Schizosaccharomyces pombe: one gene and its partners. The main gene of each other region encodes a partner of the protein of the gene in region 2 in a complex. Each region holds a gene or a part of one and is shown on either strand. Other genes may lie near its edges.

Evidence for each region.
Region 1: cox24 (region 2) and mrp4 share a complex: the UniProt entries of both Schizosaccharomyces pombe proteins name them as parts of the mitochondrial small ribosomal subunit.
Region 3: cox24 (region 2) and rsm10 share a complex: the UniProt entries of both Schizosaccharomyces pombe proteins name them as parts of the mitochondrial small ribosomal subunit.
Region 4: cox24 (region 2) and fyv4 share a complex: the UniProt entries of both Schizosaccharomyces pombe proteins name them as parts of the mitochondrial small ribosomal subunit.

Annotation. Positions count from the first base shown.
Region 1 is NC_003424.3:3,064,805-3,067,973, forward strand, and holds mrp4 (mitochondrial 37S ribosomal protein uS2m), read right to left. Parts: upstream 1,463-3,169; 5' UTR 1,406-1,462; coding exon 614-1,405; 3' UTR 522-613; downstream 1-521. Other genes in the region: SPOM_SPAC24C9.09 (threonine--tRNA (Thr) ligase), read left to right, coding at 1-387; sgd1 (ribosome small subunit biogenesis protein), read left to right, coding at 1,784-1,853, 1,903-3,169. UniProt on the Schizosaccharomyces pombe protein: Component of the mitochondrial ribosome (mitoribosome), a dedicated translation machinery responsible for the synthesis of mitochondrial genome-encoded proteins, including at least some of the essential transmembrane subunits of the mitochondrial respiratory chain.
Region 2 is NC_003424.3:4,761,077-4,764,773, reverse strand, and holds cox24 (mitochondrial 37S ribosomal protein mS38 ), read right to left. Parts: upstream 1,732-3,697; 5' UTR 1,696-1,731; coding exon 1,539-1,695; exon of another isoform or gene 1,497-1,538; coding exon 1,126-1,496; 3' UTR 552-1,125; downstream 1-551. Other genes in the region: ypa2 (serine/threonine-protein phosphatase 2A activator 2), read right to left, coding at 1-325; splicing-associated factor Saf3, read right to left, coding at 1,900-2,967. UniProt on the Schizosaccharomyces pombe protein: Component of the mitochondrial ribosome (mitoribosome), a dedicated translation machinery responsible for the synthesis of mitochondrial genome-encoded proteins, including at least some of the essential transmembrane subunits of the mitochondrial respiratory chain.
Region 3 is NC_003423.3:3,868,132-3,873,336, reverse strand, and holds rsm10 (mitochondrial 37S ribosomal protein uS10m), read right to left. Parts: upstream 3,170-5,205; 5' UTR 3,045-3,169; coding exon 2,965-3,044; intron 2,899-2,964; coding exon 2,292-2,898; 3' UTR 2,130-2,291; coding exon of another isoform or gene 573-2,129; 3' UTR 517-572; downstream 1-516. Other genes in the region: protein Cwf3, read left to right, coding at 1-514, 573-2,129; mri1 (methylthioribose-1-phosphate isomerase), read left to right, coding at 4,736-5,205. UniProt on the Schizosaccharomyces pombe protein: Component of the mitochondrial ribosome (mitoribosome), a dedicated translation machinery responsible for the synthesis of mitochondrial genome-encoded proteins, including at least some of the essential transmembrane subunits of the mitochondrial respiratory chain.
Region 4 is NC_003423.3:3,431,758-3,438,016, reverse strand, and holds fyv4 (mitochondrial 37S ribosomal protein mS41 ), read right to left. Parts: upstream 4,350-6,259; 5' UTR 4,292-4,349; coding exon 4,198-4,291; exon of another isoform or gene 4,148-4,197; coding exon 3,900-4,147; 3' UTR 3,790-3,899; coding exon of another isoform or gene 3,457-3,789; 3' UTR 3,190-3,456; coding exon of another isoform or gene 1,645-3,189; 3' UTR 509-1,644; downstream 1-508. Other genes in the region: syj1 (inositol-1,4,5-trisphosphate 5-phosphatase 1), read right to left, coding at 1-464; plasma membrane pantothenate transmembrane transporter Liz1, read left to right, coding at 1,645-3,189; SPOM_SPBC4B4.12C (uncharacterized protein), read left to right, coding at 3,457-3,789; autophagy-associated protein Atg5, read left to right, coding at 4,827-4,925, 5,012-5,130, 5,177-5,351, 5,423-5,815; U1 snRNP-associated protein Prp39, read right to left, coding at 6,043-6,259. UniProt on the Schizosaccharomyces pombe protein: Component of the mitochondrial ribosome (mitoribosome), a dedicated translation machinery responsible for the synthesis of mitochondrial genome-encoded proteins, including at least some of the essential transmembrane subunits of the mitochondrial respiratory chain.

The DNA of each region.
Region 1 (3,169 bases), 1.7 Mb from region 2:
GAGCATTTAAATGGACACTGGCCATTTTGGCTAAGTCCTAGACATGCTGTCATTTTACCAGTCAATCAAACAGATCGAATTCTAACTTATGCTAAGCAAGTACAAAAGGAATTGTCTAATCAGGAAGTCAATGAATCTGAATTTCTCCCACTCAATAAAAATACCTATTATGTGGACATAAACGCTGAAGCACAATCTATTGGCAAACGGCTACGTGAATCAAGACTTTTAAATTATAATTATGAAATTGTCATTGGAGAAGACGAAGTTGACAAAGAAATTCTCAGTGTATCTAGTAGACACAATCATAATTCAAGGGATACTAGAAAGATGACTATTCAACAATTGAAAAAAGAGTTTATAGAAAATGTGAAAGCATACCGATGATTTCCTTTCGCACAGCAAAATATGTCTGTCTTTAACAAAAATTTTGGCATCAAATCATTGAAATGTGATATATACGTTATCCATAATAATTTATTCTTTCTTTTTAACCTTTCGTTTACGAATCATTAATTTTATTGAATACTAGTGAAAATTAATCAGACCTTATCTTTAATCATGTTTAGAAAAATCAAAGAATACAGGCATTTTCAAAACAATGAGAGGGGAATCATAAAGGAAGTGTAAATTTATCTTTTTCGAAGGCTTGGTTAGCTTTTTGGTACTCTTGCTCAGCTACCCTACTCAGTAAACCAGCTATTAAATCTGTACACCGTAAAGAATCATCATTTGCTGGAATAGGATAGGTAACCATCCTTGGATCCGCATCAGTATCAATGATTCCAATTGTTGGAACATGAGTTTTCTGTGCCTCTAGACAAGCACTTTTGTTTTCTAATGGGTTTAGTATAACCATCAAATCAGGAAAGACATAACTTGGTTTTTTATCAGTTTGAATCAATTTCCCTCTATTATCTTTACATAAAATTGAACCGCCAAGCTTTCCTTGTACTTCTCTGGCATTGGTGAGAAGTCCTGGTAGCCAACGATCAAATATGTGATAACCTCTAGCACGTTTGGCAGCAGCAACGACAGAATCTTTCTGGCCGTTTCTGGTGCCAATGAACAATATAATTCCATTTTCTTTAGCTATTGATCTAACGACGGATATAGCTCTTCGTAGGTAAACCATGGTTTGATCCAATGATATTATGTGAATACCTTCTCTTTTACCATATATAAAGGGCTGCGTGTAAGGATTCCATATGGATGTAGAGTGTCCTAAATGAGCACCAGAAGACAACAATAAAGGAAGACTAAGTTGACTAGGAGGTGCCGGATTTCGAATGGATAATGTCGGTGAATAATGGGGAGCTACAACTGCACCTATTTTGTGATTCCAGTCACGTATTTTTAAACGACGAGCTACAAGTTGCTCCGGTGATAATTTCCGTGAAAGCATAATACAGACACGAATGACTCGAGCAAAATGAAAGCCCGTTTGGTGTAGTAGTACTTTAAGACTTTGAAATCGCTGCACGATTGCAACATTTCCACTTCGATATGCTTTATTAGTGTGATACTACATAGAGCGTTAATGTAAAATACAGCAGCAGAGTGACAACTTTAAATAGCATTAACAAATTGCGATATTGTATACAGTTCCATTAGCAGTGTTGTGAAATTCATTTGAAACGATACGCCAACTCGAGACTGAGGCCCAATTCTTCTCTTTGTAAAGCAATTATACCAGTTTTTGGTATCGTTTAATTGAAAAATTTGGTAGTTCTTGAGCTTTAGTATTAATTATCGTTTGTTTAATATTTAAACATTCGATAGTATGAGGCCAATTAAAAAAAGCAGAAGCTTAAAACTGCCCAAAAGTATTTTAGAAGAGATAGGAGAATCTGGTAAGCTTTTTTTTATAGATTTGGTCAGTATATTTAACCAAATTGATAGATTCGAGTGCTAGGCGGGGAAAGCGAAATCATAATCTACCTCATCGTGAAAAAAGAAAATTTGCTAGGATCTCTCGAGGAAAAAATGGTTATGAAAACCGGAAGATTACAGAAGAAGGTGATAGTAAGTCTTCTGAACTTAATGATGATTACTTAGATGCTCACAGAAAGTCATCTACAAAAAAAAAATCTTCACAGAATAAACAGGCAAAGGAGAGTAAATTACTCGATCCCATTGCTTTTCAGCATAAGATTGCTTTGGAAGAGGATGATCGTGAAATCGCTCATTTAGAAAAGATGCTTGGCATCAAAAGCAAAGATAAATCTGCTCACTCAAAAATTGACAAGGAATTTGGATGGCTTTTAGAAGACCTAGATCAAGAAATTGATGACATAGGCGTTCCGGGCACTGAAGATCCTTCATATGGTCATTCAGAAGACTCTGAAGTTTCAGACGATACAGGTGACCATGGTAGCGTTGATGAGTTGGAAAGTGAAAGGGAAGGAAATTCGGGTGAGGAGGAGGAAGAGTTTCATGGGTTTGAGTCTAATTCTGATGAATTCCATCAACCTGAAACTAAGCCGATTCGGATGGATCCTTTGAAGCCTGCAGTCCCATCCTTACCTAATGCGAACGTCGGCTCAAAGTATGTCCCTCCATCTTTACGGAAAAAATTAGGGGGAGATAAGGAGTCAGAAGATGCTCTGCGACTTCGTCGGAAATTACAAGGATCGCTAAACAAATTGTCTATCGCAAATATTTCTTCAATTATTAAGGAGATTGAAGTCCTTTACATGGAAAATTCAAGACACTCAGTCACGTCTACCATCACCAATTTGCTACTACAAACCGTAATGGGAAGAGAATCTATGCTAGATCAATTGGCCATAGTATATGCTGCGTTAGCCACTGCTCTTTACCGCATTGTAGGCAATGACTTTGGTGCTCATCTATTGCAAACCCTAGTGGAACGTTTTTTGCAGCTTTATAAATCAAAAGAGAAAGAACCTCTTTCTTCCCATAAGGAGACTTCTAACTTGATTGTATTTTTTGTTGAGTTGTATAATTTTCAACTTGTTTCATGTGTTCTTGTTTATGATTTGATTCGCCTTTTTTTACGCTCTTTAACCGAATTGAACGTTGAAATGCTGCTCAAAATTGTCCTCAATTGTGGAGGGCAGTTGCGATCAGATGACCCGACGTCTCTCCAAGATATTGTTACGGAAATGAATTTGTTATTAGCTTCAGCTGATCCATCAACCATATC
Region 2 (3,697 bases):
GGTGCAACTTTGGTGTTTCAATGTATACCTGATCGTAAAATGATTGAAATGCAGGATTGCCAAACCTCGACCCCATATTATCAATTGCAGGATTTTCCTGTTTAATTTCTCCAACTCGATCTAGTATATTTAATACATGCTCTATTGATGAGCTTTGCGGAATTGAAGCTGAAATAGGCTTGTCTTTCACAGCTTCGTCAAGATCACAAATAAACGAATCAATTAACTTATAAGCATCTCCTTCTTTAAATAATTTTAAGTCTTCATTGTCTAAAATTCGTCGGACAGGAACGAAACACCGGTTTTGCTCTTCTCTAGAAAGCATGTTGGCATAACTTGATCGGTTAAGACAAGATTAACAAAAGCCTTAAAAATTATACAGTTGGACGCTCTTCAATATTCCTTATGTTGTTATTTGTTATGTCAGTCGTCAGTACGTTACATTTCATTATTGTAATTAGCTATAATCAGTGAGAACATTTTTTAAAGAAAGAAATGTAGAAATTTTTTTTTTTTTTTTCAAAATTGTTTTAAGGAAATAATTTCGACTACTAAAGTTATTTTTCATACCAATGTGTTCTTTTATTCTATGTGTAAACAGATACAGTGTAATAAGCGTTTATTAATTGCTTGATATACAACAACATATTTATGATTCACATGAAGTGTACATGTCATTAATTCTAGCCATCGACAAATATTTAAAAATATAAAAAGGAAGGGCCAAAGATGGAGGTATTGTAATAGTACTAGACATGGGAAGCTAATTGATATGAAGGAGATAGCCGGCATAAACAAATAAGTGCTCCGCTTTTTGAAAATAGTTAAATAAACGCGGATTGTTTAATGATTTTATCGCAAGAAAAAAGCACCGACCTAATTGTCTCATACCGGAACATTAAAGGATAGAATATACATGAGAGAAAATGTATTCCTTGTTAAAAAAGCCTGAAGTAAACATTAAATGATTAAACGTTTCTTAAGAAAAGAGAGGTACTGATATCCAAGTTAAAAATAGAGACTCATAAATGCTTGCAGCCATTTTGAAAATGCTTGTTTACAGCTTAAACTCTCAATCCAACCAACCTAAAAATATAACCCGAGTAAAAATAAGTTCTAATAATCTCATTTTCCTAGACGTTTCCTAAGTGCTCGTTGTCGGCGTAAGCGCTTTTTGAACTTATGTTTATTCATTTTCAATTTTCTTTTTCGTTTGACACTGGTCAAATCTAAAGGTGTAATAGAAATCAGCTTATCACATATTTGTTCCCATACTTGAGTAGATATACGAGCGGGTTGAGTTTGAGTTACGGATCCAGATGCAGAGAATGATTGAGCATACAAATAGCCATCCTCTAAAGATAACACATATTCCTGGGGTTGATCTTCCTCATCCTGCGATTGCGAAACTTGTGTTTTGGACTCAACTTTAGGCACACATATTTGATTAGCTGACAAAGGTCGATATCCAGCAAAGAAATTTGCTTTTGCGATTTCTACGCAATGAAGTTAGAAATAGAAGTATTTAATTTACTTACGACGATATGAAACGTGTGAAGTTGTAGGAACCGTTGGTAGGTTATATTTCGACCCAACTTCGGGAGAAGCTGAAACATGCCAAATCGGTATGGGACTACGCAGTGAAAGGCCGTTTAAACCTTTTAATATTGTGGAAAGCGCACCTCTTCGTAACATGGGTGACCAAGGCGAAAAATGTGTTGTACTCTTTGCACTGCGGGAAGGTAAGAATTGGTATGCTTATGCTAAACACTTACAAAGAGGAAGGGTGGTGCACATTTGATATTAATTCAGAAGAATGTTGTATTTAAATATATATGTGATGTTAAATAAAATTAATGCTAAATGAAATACAAAATTGTCCTTATGTATATACAGATGTTAGGTACGTTTTCGCTTCGAGAGTGGGCTGTCAGAATGAAGTCCACCGAGACGATGCAAATTTTTTTGCAAGATTGGGTTTTTAGGATCATACCAAGCAGATCCTTCTTTTGTAGTATCTTCATTTGCCAAATGCGTCCAGCGTGTTTGGCCTGCCTTCGCAAAAAGATCTCCCCTAATTTGCATAGGTTTGGGTAATAAATCTTTATTAAGAACTTCCCCTTCTGTGGCTTCTGAATAATCTCTTTTACTCACAATATCTTCGTTTTGATAGAATGCACCCTTATGATAGTACTTTTGTAAGAACTGCATAGATGACTTTTTCTTTCCTCTCCGACTTGCTTCAGCGTCCTTCAAATCTTGGGCTTCGCGTTCCTCAGAATTCATTAATCTTCTTTCTTCAATTGCCATCTTTTCCCTTTCTAATTCCAGTGACTTTTCCTTGTCTCTCTTTTTCCTAAGCAAATGCCTTAATTTCCATAATTCATATTCACTTTGCGGATCAATTCCATCGGTATCATCGATATCATTTAATAATTCATTATTGTTTTTAGTTTCTTTCAATAGTAATTCCCGTTTTATAGTCTCTTCTAATATTTTTTGTGAAGTCACTTTTTTAAGCACCTCAGTATCTTCTTCATTGGCTTTTGCCCGATTTTTGATGACTTTACTAGTAAATTTTGGCGGAAGAAGAAGTGTCCGCCTTCTCAGCTCCATCTCATATTCCGAATCAGAAGAGTCTTCTTCTTCAGAACTAGATGCTGCAGAGTTAGATCCCCCTTCTGCCGATGATGCGTCAGTCTCATATTCTGAAGCAGAGTTATCAATTGTTTGGACTGGGTTAATGTTTTGGAAATTAGAAGACGTTTTGGTTTCAGATATTCCTTCTTTCTCGAATACTGGAGTAATAACATGTCTTGATGAAGAAATCGAGTTTTCTTGATCATGTGAATCGGAAACTTCTTCATAATCACTTTCAGAAGAAGACTCACTTTCCAGCCCTTCCAATCTACCAGAGCGATATCTTGAAATAGGTTTATGGGGTATCAACGGTGTATCTATTGGCATCTTGACAAACGCTTTTTATTAAATTGGTTGGCAAATTTCAATCAACCGGTAAAACAATATAAATATGAATTGGAAATTATATATCTATTATCTACCACCCAAGATAAAACTGTATATCTGATATAATAGATTGTATGTATGCAATTTGTGGTACGGTGCCACTTACAAAGAGGTTTCGGGGCACTTACCAATGCGAGAACAAATATCACAAGCACACATTCTAGTCAAATGAACGAGAATCCTGGCATAATTTATATTTAGCTGAAAGTTTGTAAAATTGAATTGCCTTTTGTAAAATACATCGTTTCAGTTTATGGTCAATGTAATGTATTTCCAAAAACAACCGTTGTCAACCCTTTGAGACCTTCATAAAAATTATTTAGATGCTACATACAATATATCCTTTGAAAATACCCTCCTATAATTAGTAAAAATGATGTACTTTTCAAGATCCTAAAATTCGTTGAAGTGGTTTTAAAAAATATAGAGTTCTTGACTTGAAATCTGTCAGCATCTCACTTTTTCATACCAAAATAACTTTGAAGAAATAAAACCAAACGTATACTTGTAATTTTGTTATATTGATTATATTTCTCAATTCAATTCACCTTCTAATTCTAAATACAGATAGCGAGCGCTGGCAACTAGCAACAATAGTGAAGTTAAGTTCAACTATCGTAATATAACCATTAATTGAGAGTACATACTTCCCAGAGCTTGATACTACCGT
Region 3 (5,205 bases), on a different chromosome or scaffold from region 2:
TTTGATTTTATTGCATAAAATGCCTGTTATTTGGAAACTATATTTACAATTTTTGATGAAACAACCAAATGTCACTAAGATTCGTTGTACATTTAACTCTGCACTTCGCGCCTTACCGGTAACTCAGCACGATGATATTTGGGACATGTTTACGAAATATGCTGAAGATATTGGAGGATTATTTTGCATCCATGTCTACCGCAGATATATACAAGTAGAACCAAGAGCAATTGAAAACTACATTGAGATACTTTGTAAATTAGGGCTGTGGAATGAAGCTGCTCGACAATATGAGGATATTTTAAATCGGCCCGTGTTTTTATCAGCAAAAAGGAAGAGCAATTATCAGATATGGCTCGAGTTTTCCGAGTTAGTTGTTCAGCATCCTGACCATACGCAAAACATAGACGTAGAAAAGGTTTTTAGAGCTGGCATTAAAAGGTTTTCTGATCAAGCAGGGAAACTATGGACTTATTTGGCACAATATTATATACGCATTGGTGACTACGAGAAGGTATGTTTAACTGGTTTGTTTATTGACCCCTTATTGCAAAAACTAACTTATCGTACAGGCAAGAAGCACATTCTATGAAGGGATGAATAACATAATGACTGTAAGAAATTTTACAATTATATTCGATGCTTTTGTTGAATTCGAAGAGCAATGGCTATCTGCACGAGTTGAAGCAAGCAGCGGAAATGCAAATGACGAATTAAGTATCGATTTTCATATGGCCTGGCTCGAGAAAATACTTGACAAACGTCCGCTTTATATCAATGATGTATTATTAAGGCAAAATATAAATAACGTTGACGAATGGCTTCGCCGAGTCAAGTTTTTAGAAGACGACAGCGAAAAAGTTGTTCAAGTTTACACAGACGCTATAAAAAATGTAAATCCAAAGCTGGCGCATGGCTCCCTCGGCAAATTGTTTTCAGAGTTTGCTCGTTTTTATGAAAATTTTGATGATTTAGAACAATCAAGGATAATTTTTGAAAAGGCTACTCATGTACCATATAAAACAGTCAATGAGTTAGCACAAGTTTGGATTGACTGGGCCGAGATGGAACTTCGACATCAAAATTTTGACGCTGCGAGAAAATTAATAGGAGATGCCGTTCATGCTCCTAGAAAAAGTCATATCAGCTTTTTTGATGAATCACTCAGTCCACAAGTACGGCTACACAAGTCATCTAAGATATGGATGTATTATCTTGATCTTGAGGAAAGCGTTGGTACGATTGAAACTACACGCAAATTGTACGACCGCGTCTTTGAACTAAAAATTGCTACTCCCCAGGTGGTTGTCAATTATGCAAATCTCTTAGAGGAGAATGCTTATTTTGAAGATTCATTTAAAATTTATGAGAGAGGTGTTGCGTTATTTAGTTATCCCGTGGCTTTTGAACTTTGGAATTTATATTTAACAAAATTTGTTAAACGATATCAAGGAACGCATATGGAAAGGACCAGGGATTTATTTGAACAAGCATTAGAAGGATGTCCGCCCGAATTTTCGAAAAGTATTTATCTTCTGTATGCCGATTTCGAAGAAAAGTTTGGCAAAGCAAAAAGATCCATTTCTATTTTAGAAAAAGCGGCCGACAAGGTTAAAACAGCAGACCGTCTTGCTATTTACAATGTGTTACTCGTTAAAGTGGCATTAAATTATGGTGTACTGGCGACAAGGACAGTTTATGAGAAGGCTATTGAATCCCTGAGTGACTCAGAAGTCAAAGATATGTGCTTAAGGTTTGCTGAAATGGAGACGAAACTTGGTGAAATCGATCGTGCTCGTTTAATATATATTCATGGAAGTCAATACTGTGATCCAAGAGTTGAAACGGATTATTGGAAAGCATGGCAAGAATTTGAAATAAGGTACGGAAATCCAGAAGAAACAGTTAAAGAAATGCTTCGTATTAAACGGTCTGTACAAACTAAGTTTAGCACTGATTCCCTTCATATAGCGAAGAGAGCAGCTAAAATTGAAAGTGCAGCAGCACCAATGGATCCAATGGAACAGCTTGAAATGGAAAAATCTGAAGGACCTAAGGCACTTGCGGGTTTTGTTCTTTCGAAAAGCAATCCCCAAGAAACTTCAAAAATTACTGGTGAGGAAAACTAACGAAACAAGTGTGGACTATTCGTAACGTTTTTAGTTAAAGAACACTTTTAATGAAGAAAAGCTAGTGTCATATTGTTAAAAAAAAAAGTACGAATACAGTCAGAGTATTTTTGCTAATAAACGGTCCAACATCAGAGTAATTGAAAACACATTAGTTAATTTTTATTTTCGAGATGAATTTTTTAACAAATCTTTGTAAATGGGGTCGTTTCTGAGCAATTTTTCGGCATTTTGTGTGATTATATCTTTTTTCGAAGGACCGTTTAACAATTCTTTGAAATTATCAGTAGACTTAGACTGTGACTCGAAGTTTTTAAGGGCATCATCGATGGATTCGTATTCATAAGCTTTTGCTTGCAATTTTAAATCCCACATGTTGCATTTTCGTAAATAACTAAAAAACGTTTCTAAAGTAACTGGATTGACACTGTACAGTTGTATAAGTCGAGAGTGCGTAATACGTTCAAAATTCTCCTGAGAAGATTTGTGAATAAAAGGTGATCGGAGTAAAGTCCAGCTTTCTACTTTGTTGGGTAATGGACGTGGACCCTTGATTGGAATTTTCATGTAATACGCTGTTCGACAAATGAAGTCGGTAAACGTATCAAGTTTTGGAGTTTCAAAGCTTTTAATTTTTAGAGAAGCACAAAGTACGTCGTTTTCAGAAGGATTGAATTTAACAGGGTTCAAATATACAGCTGCAACGTTGGAAGGAAGCTGTTGAAAAAATGGATTCTCAAAAAGTTGATCCTTTTCGCTGTTCCCTTTGCTAATAAATTGGGGTTAGAATGTACAAAATTATAGCTTAAATTAGAGGAAAGGATTGAATACATACGGTGATTCTTTGCCAATAGCTGTCTGGAAACAACGTTTCGGTTGCACGCGAGGTAATGTACCAAACATATACCGTTTCATGATTAATATTTTAGCCGGTTACTTAAAATACTTGTTAAGAAAACCACAAGAACAAAATTCCAACAATTAAACACTGTAAAGGTGTTTTTTTTTAACAAAATTTTTTGGTTGGAGTGGGGAGTAATGGTCGAGCTACACTTGTCATCCACCATCATATTCAGTTTAACACAATTATCGTAGGACTAAGGGGTTATTAATCAATGTTTTAATTGAACATAAACAAGCGGAGCGAAATCATTTTAAATGTCGTTCGCGCGTGAATACCTTGAAAAACACGTAGATGGTAACATTTATTTTAAAAAAGCAATATCATTCTGTAATTTATACTATGATGGAACGATCTAACTATAAATTTTTTATTTGCATTTGAAGGTCAAAGTTTAGAATTCAAAGGTGGGTGTGATTGTACTGTACTAAAAATATTATTGATGCACCATAGTGAAGAAAACCAAAAAAATTCGATTAAACATGAATATTTGTGATTATAAGGCTTTCAGCACAATTTAAAATTGACCAGTATGATGAGAGTTCTCAGTCAGCAATGAGATGTAATTTTTTAAAATTATGAGGAGACAATTATTTTACAATAACAAATTCCGGAAGTTAACAAAAGTGTGAACTGAACAATTGTGCTTTTGAGCTAGGAATTAAAGGTTTGGGACTGGCATCCTACTTGCAATTATGGAAGAATCTACTGATTTGTCATTCAAATTACTTTATACTACAAGAATACATAGGGATTTTGGAATTAAATGCTTACCTCGTAACACAATAATCGTTCTCATTTAAATTGGCTTTAACAATGAAAAATATTCAATGTTTTACAGTTTCAAGGTTGTATGTTAAACTGTTACAGCAGACAGCTATATAAATATATTAACTTGCGACCCTTGTTTACCAATCCTGCATTCAAAACTGACTTGCGATCACTGATATATATATATATATATTTAAGTATTGCAAACGAGTATCACTTTTCAAGCAGATAGGTTGGTGTCAACAACTTCTTGCTGCATGTCAAAGTCAAAGTCGCACATATGATTATTAAATTGACACTACCGAACATCTTGATAAATACTTCAAGCATGGCTTTTCTGGAAAACGAAAAAAATATATCGTTCTCATCTTTAAAAGTTTGAAGTTTGTATACATAGGTTCTACAGCTGTAATTCCTTCATAAAACATCAATGCATATTATTATTCCTTGATTCTAATATGTCAGATCGACTCATTATTAAAAATAAATTCGGTGATACATTTTTTAATCTATAATTCAAGGCACCATACTCATTATCAAAATAACTTGGTAATATAATTTGACGATGGAACTTACATCTTTGAATGAGTCTAAATTTTTTGTTTACGCGTTCAAAATGTTAGATGCATATCAAATAGTGCGGATAAATAAGAAGCACAATATTAAGTTAGGGTTGCTAATTTTATCTATCTATAAGCAGTGTCAAAAGTACGAAAGACTGCGTTAACTCTTCTTATAAATTTATATTAAACTTAATGTACTATTTTTTGTTCCTAAGTAAACTACACAGTGTAACTTTATATTAATTCATTATTTCTATTAATGCATCGCTACGAGCTTCATCAAATCCTTTAATTTTATCTGATGCATGTGCGTTCGTGCGCTAGTGAAGTAAAAGTTTTCAAAGGCAGAGATATTCAAAAATTTGGGCAGAATGTCGTTGCAAGCAATCATTTATAATGAGGACAAGCTTCTTGTATTAGACCAATTACTTCTTCCGTACGAGCGTAAATACATTTCAGTTAGTAATGTAGAAGACGCATTCGCTGTCATAAAAAAAATGCAAGTTCGTGGGGCCCCAGCTATTGCTATTGTAGCAGCTTTGAGTGTGGCTGTCGGATTAAAACATCTTTCTGAAGATGCAGATGCAAAAGAATATGTTATAAATAGCTTTGAGCATCTCAAACAGTCTCGTCCTACCGCTGTCAATCTTTTTGAAACTGCAAAGTTTATGCAAGGCATTGCTCTTCAAGAAGGAAAAAATTGTCGAAATAAAATTATTCAGGAAGCGGAGCGTATGCTAGTAAAAGATTTAGAAGACAACCACAATATTGGAACTGCTGGCCGAAAATTCTTGTTGCAGCATTACAAAGATAAAGACAAGCTCACCGTTTTGACCCATTG
Region 4 (6,259 bases), on a different chromosome or scaffold from region 2:
AAGTAAAATGATCCATTTGTTAATAGCTTTCTGAGACTACTGAATGGTTCAGCGGCATACTTGTAAGAATCATAGCCTTGGGTATCGGTATCGTAACCATCCGGAATATCAGGCGAGTAATTTTCTTGTCGAATGTGATCCCAGTTTGAACGATTAACACTGTAAAAGCAGACCTCCATGATACGAAAAACTCTTTCTTTATCTCGCACACGTGCTACCTCACTAGCTCCACTAATCACGCACAAAAAATTGGACCCTTCTAATTCAATCAGACCTAGAGTACCATAAATTCGATGACTGGAGATTTTTCGAAATCCTTCTAACGGCTTTTCTGACAATGCCGTAAATTCTGCAACACATACTGATAAAGAGTTTTTGTTCTGAGGAACCGAATGAAACATAAGAGCATGGTCCTTATTGACTAAGGCCAAGGATCTTGGCTTTTCCCTCAGCAGACATTGCATCTTAAGATTCACAAATGTGAACTATAAATAATAAAATTCGTTCTGTAATGAACGATGCAAGTCTTTACCAACGATGTTTGTCCGAACAAGTTATAAATCTTGGGATACGAAGTTGGGTGGTGTTGGGTGACAAAAACGTTCGTTACTTAAACATTATAGAAGCGCTTCTGTAAATTAGAATAAGTAAACGGCTTATTTTAATTTACTATGTTAAAATGTATTCCAAAAAATTTTGGTTCTAATATATGGAAGTTTCTGGTCAATTTTTAAAGTGCATTTGCTTTACAAAACTCGTAACCCTTGTAAACATATTTCATTGATTATGGGTAGAAAACCATTGAAACAAGAAAATCATAAGAGAAGCGATCTTGCTAAAACGTAACGTAACAGGATTTCAAGGCACTTCCATAAGATTGGTACTGTCAAAAAATGTATTATAATTCACTTTCGTTCATCAACAGTGCCATTGTTAATTTCAAAAACACCAAGTTGCACAAGAATACAGCGGTTACTCCAACGTATTAAAAATAAAAGTCAAACAGATACAGTATTCGGCAGAAAAAACCCCCATCTTAAGAGCTAAGATTATTTGAGCTCTCCGAAGATGTTCGCTGACGCTGAATAGCTTCAACTATGGCAATTTTTTACATTTCAAATGTGTTGGTTACTGTAATAGTATGTTTAATCTCGCAAATAGTGGTTATTGTATTGTAGCCACTTGAACCGAATGCTTATTAATTGAAAGGTTAGATGTTTTTTGCAATACAGTTAATTTCCACAAATAGAGCAGCAAAGTATAGTACTCATTGTGGCTACGTCGAGAATAAGTATCCAACTTGCTAGCCAATTCCGAGTAATCAGCGCACATCTAAAAATTAAGATTGGGTTTCCGGCATTGATATTGTCACTTTTTAGAAGGCTCGATCGATACTTATAATCTTGATTTTTCAGAAAAATTAAAGAAAAAATTTTCCTGGCTGGAGCATATTGATATTCCAACAGTCTGCAATTCGATTTTGACTCGAAGTGTTTGTTCCTTGCTTAGGTCCCTGGCTTTACTTTAATATAGGCACTTTTCATGAGAATCCATTGAAATTGTACGTTTTCTAAAGCCATAAAAATTTAAGTTAGGTCTCCTCTGTAAATTGTCGTGAATATTTCATAAGTGAGACAAGTCGTAATGGCGTTACTAAATAGGTTGGCAAAAACCTTTTCCCCTTATTATGGATTAAACAAAGTTGAACAAAAGCTTTTAATAAAAATAGATTGGTTCATACTTTCTTACTGTTGCGTTTCATATTTTATTAATTACTTGGATAGATCATCAATAAACAATGCATACCTTAGTGGTATGCAAGAGGATTTGAAAATGCATGGTAATGAATTGCAAGATATAAACGTTGTTTTTACATGTGGATACATTATAGGACAATTGCCAGGTTCTTATGCATTACAGAGAGTACCAGCAAGACTTTGGTTTTCGGTTATGAATATTTTATGGGGACTTATGACGATTTTTTCATTTGCGGTACATTCCGTTCGAGCATTGATGATTTTACGCTTTTTCATGGCGGTTGCGGAGGCATCTACATTTGCTGGTACGCATTATATATTGGGCGCATGGTACAAAGAAAGTGAACTATGCAAACGTGCCGGAATTTTTTCAGCCTCTGGTTTAGTCGGCACAATGTTTGCTGGGTATTTGCAAACAGCAGTTCATTCATCATTAAATGGTAAAGGTGGTTTATCTGGTTGGCGTTGGCTTTTTATAATTGATGGCATTTTGACGATTCCTCTTTCATTATATGGGCTCTTTCTGTTTCCTGACGTTCCAGAAACAACCAAGGCTCCTTATTTTACAGAACAAGAAAAAGAATTAAGTTTCAAAAGGCTACCCGCTCGCCCCAAGAAGAAGCCATTAACGCTAAAAGCGATAAAGGATATTGTACGTTCATGGCGAATTTACGGTTTGTGCATCCTTTGGATTTTTAGCGGAGAAACACAAGCTATAGCTGTCAATGTATTGATGGGTCAGTGGATGAAATGGAGCAACAAATTTTCTGTTGCCCAAATAAATAATTACCCAACTGTGATTACAGCTGTTGGCGTAGTATCAACGTTAGGTGCTAGTGTTATTTCTGATAAATTAGCTGGAAACCCAAGATGGCCTTTTGGACTTTTTCTGTGCGTAATTACTACTGTTTCTGCTACAATACTTCTAGCATGGAACGTGCCAGATGGCGCAAAATTCTTTGCTTATTTCGCTTCTGGTTGTACATATGCTGGACAAGCAGTTTGGTTTTCTTGGGCAAATGACATTTGCCGGGATAATGATCAGGAAAGAGGAGTTGTTGTGTTTTTGATGAATATGTGTCAGAATATCTGGCATATTTGGTGGGCACCTATAATGTATCCCAATACTGATACGCCTCGATTTATAAAAGGATTAATTGGTTTGCTGGTGGTAGGAGGAATAGTCTTTGTTAGCTCTTGTATTGTTAGTTACATGCAAATCCGCGATAAAAGAATTAAACGATCCATCCAGGATGCAAAAGATTTCGATGATGTATTCACTGAGCATGAAAGTTTAGAGTTAAAAAAAATAGGCAAAAATGATGAGGAATCACTCAACACAACTAATGCGGTCAAAGAAATTAGTTCTCCAGGGCTTGTGATAACGCGACAGCGAATTTCCATGCCAAAAGAAACGAATGCCCAAGATTAGTACTAGAAGATTAATGACATAGTATAAATATTCCTTATGCCTTTAAGTACACATTTAGAGTAAATTTGCTGTTCATATTGATATCAACCTAACATAAAAATTTACCACAGTTGGCTCATCTAATTGACCAAGCCCTTTGACGCAAACGCAAACGAATACCTTTGCACACATACTCAAAAAGAATCTGCTAACAAACGATTTAAGGTGCAGCTGAAGTTAAAAATTTATAACCATTAAATAGAAATACCAACTATACGTATAGTTTGGATGGTATCCGGCAATGATCAACAAGTTATTGAGTATACATCAGTCCTAAAGGAATTTAGCGATGGTGTAGACTTAATGGAGCTAAAAGAAAATTTTTTATATATTAGGACTAGAGAAAAAATTGAAGCTAAATTAATCTGGGCAGGAGAGTGGGAATGGAAGCCCGTGAACGAAACAAATGAAAATAACTTGGAAAGAGGGAGACAATACCCTAGCGCCAATTCCGCACTAATGGAAAATTCTCCAGAATTTGCTAAATGGTTTCATGGACAATTGTTTAATCGGCTTTGCGTTCTAGGCTCCACATCTTCGTCGAGAAAAGACATGCTTTGAACAGTGTTGGCTATTTTAAGCAAATTTTAGATTAATTCGAACTCAAGCAAAAACTCAACTACAAAAAGAAGAAAGAATGTCTCAAAAGAATATAATATTCCATATACTTATTATTTACGTTTGCGTCGCTCACCTCCATTCTTTTTAACCATAACTGGATATGGCTTAACTATAAACCCTTCTTTAAATCGGTTTCTTTGGCTTGCAATGTATTTCCTTGTACGTACATCAATACCTTCCTTTTTCATAGTTTTTGTACTTTTCCTAAATAGACCATCCCAAGACTCGAATTTTCCGTTCACTTTTTCTGCAGTATCTCTTCCAATTCTTTTAAAGAAATCATTTGTATTAGAAATCCCTGAATCTTGTTAGGAATTTAAATTGCACTAATGTTTTGAAATCTCATACCTGATCTTGGACTAGGAACAGTAGAGGCATACCGGCAGTTAGAAAAAGGAAATATAAAATTTCTTATAATGAAAATCCTCTTCAAGATCAACATATTTACCAGTATTGTTTTAAAAATATTTGGTTGTTTAAATAAGTTGTGTACAGTTTCTGGAACGTATGCGAAAGTCTCACAAACGTACTAGCGACTCATAGTGCGACCATGTCAAGCTTAGTGCCTGCAATTATTAGCTATATAAATCCTTGCTTTTAATTCTTTTATGAGATTTACTGCATGCAAACTTTCAAGTCCCTTGAATATCTCAAACTTCTACTTCCGAAAAGTCATTACGTGTCTATTAACTAATCAATACAGTGAATCTACAAATTCCTAATTGCGGTTTTTGTATAGCAGGAACTCGTATTTTGAACATATAAATTACCAGTTATATTTTCGGGTGAATTTTTTGAAGACTCTACTATGTGTATTTAAAGCCCACTTACTTTAATTGTAAAAACATTAATTTAACTAATTATAGTGAATGTCTGACTCTAAGCTATTTATCAACGCATTCCAACCACCCACGAGTTTGTTAAGTATACAACAAAAGCACAATTTCTAATCACAGTATTGGAGATGTTTTTTAAAAATGAATGTCGATAATAATAAAGGCAATATTCCAGAGCTCCTTTGGAATGGCACTATTTCTGTGCGCATTGATTATGAAGGTAATTCTCTGGCCTATCTAGTATGTGATTTGTTCACTCAAGTAGTAATTTAATATTCTTTAACTCAATTTATTTTTTCCTTTTTGCTCACCATATTCTACCTAAGGCTAACGTCCCGCGACAATCATATTTTGCTCAAATACTCCCAAATGTTCAACGTCTGTTGGCACCTTCAATCCCTTTATCAGAATGTTGGTTGGATTATAATGGGGTTCCTCTTAAATGGTATCGTTTACCCAAAGTAACTTTCCGTAAATTAATCATAATATAGGCATTGGCCTGTTGGCTTACTTTTCGATTTGTTAACAGTGTTTGATCCGGATACTCCTCGAGCGCCGGTGCTATGGCGCATTCAATTGCGCTCAGGTCTATTTCCTACAACCAAAATACTTCAAATGGAAACCATGGATACTTTTCGAACATATTTTTTCAACTGCTTAAAAGAGGTGCGTTCTCTATCACAAAAACATATATGATTTATTTACAAAAGGGGTAAATCCATATTAACTTTTTACAGTCTGATTACGTTCGTAACGGAAGTTCGTCTGGAATAATCGCTCTTTCAAAGGCAGAAACAGACACCTACTGGAATGCAATACTCAATCATGATTACTATGATTTCCGTCCCATTGCTATAAAAATACTTTTTTCAAAATCCAAATTCATTCCTTTAAAAATTTATTTAGGGGCCAATGCTCCTATTATACAAACTTCTGCACCTCTTGGTAGTTCTCTTGGTGAGTTTCTCAATAAACGCCTTCCCGACTTGTTTCCATCATGTGATAAATTCTTAATAGTTAAACCAGTTATTCATGGTATTACAATTTTTCTTCAGAGCGTTTTAGACGAGCTCAATCGAGATTTCTGTTACATTGATGGGTTTTTACATATTGTTTTAATGAAAGTTTAAAACATTTACGTCTCTTCTCTAGCTCCTTTAGATAATTTGTTATTCATGTACAAATAATTTTAAGATTTGTATACCCATGCAGTCTAGCAATGACTTTACAATGACATTAAGGTGCGTTTGAGTACTCCTTTCCCTAAACAAACTGCTTTTTAAGAAGTAGGAAATGCAACGAGATATAGCATTGATAATTTGACTATGAAAATTTCTTTTTAATGAGAAGTCGTAGATTATGAAGACCCATTGGCAGCAACACCAGATGTTACTGTCTCAACAACACCCTGAAGACGGTAATATTTCTCATATGGAGATTCACCAGACTTGATTTTTGCTTCATTCACAGAAATACCAGGGTGACCGTTAGTGCTTAAAAGCCTAGTACTAACCTGTTTCAAATCTTGTCCTTCATCGAGCTTTTTCCAGTGGGATTCCCGTACACTAAAAGGC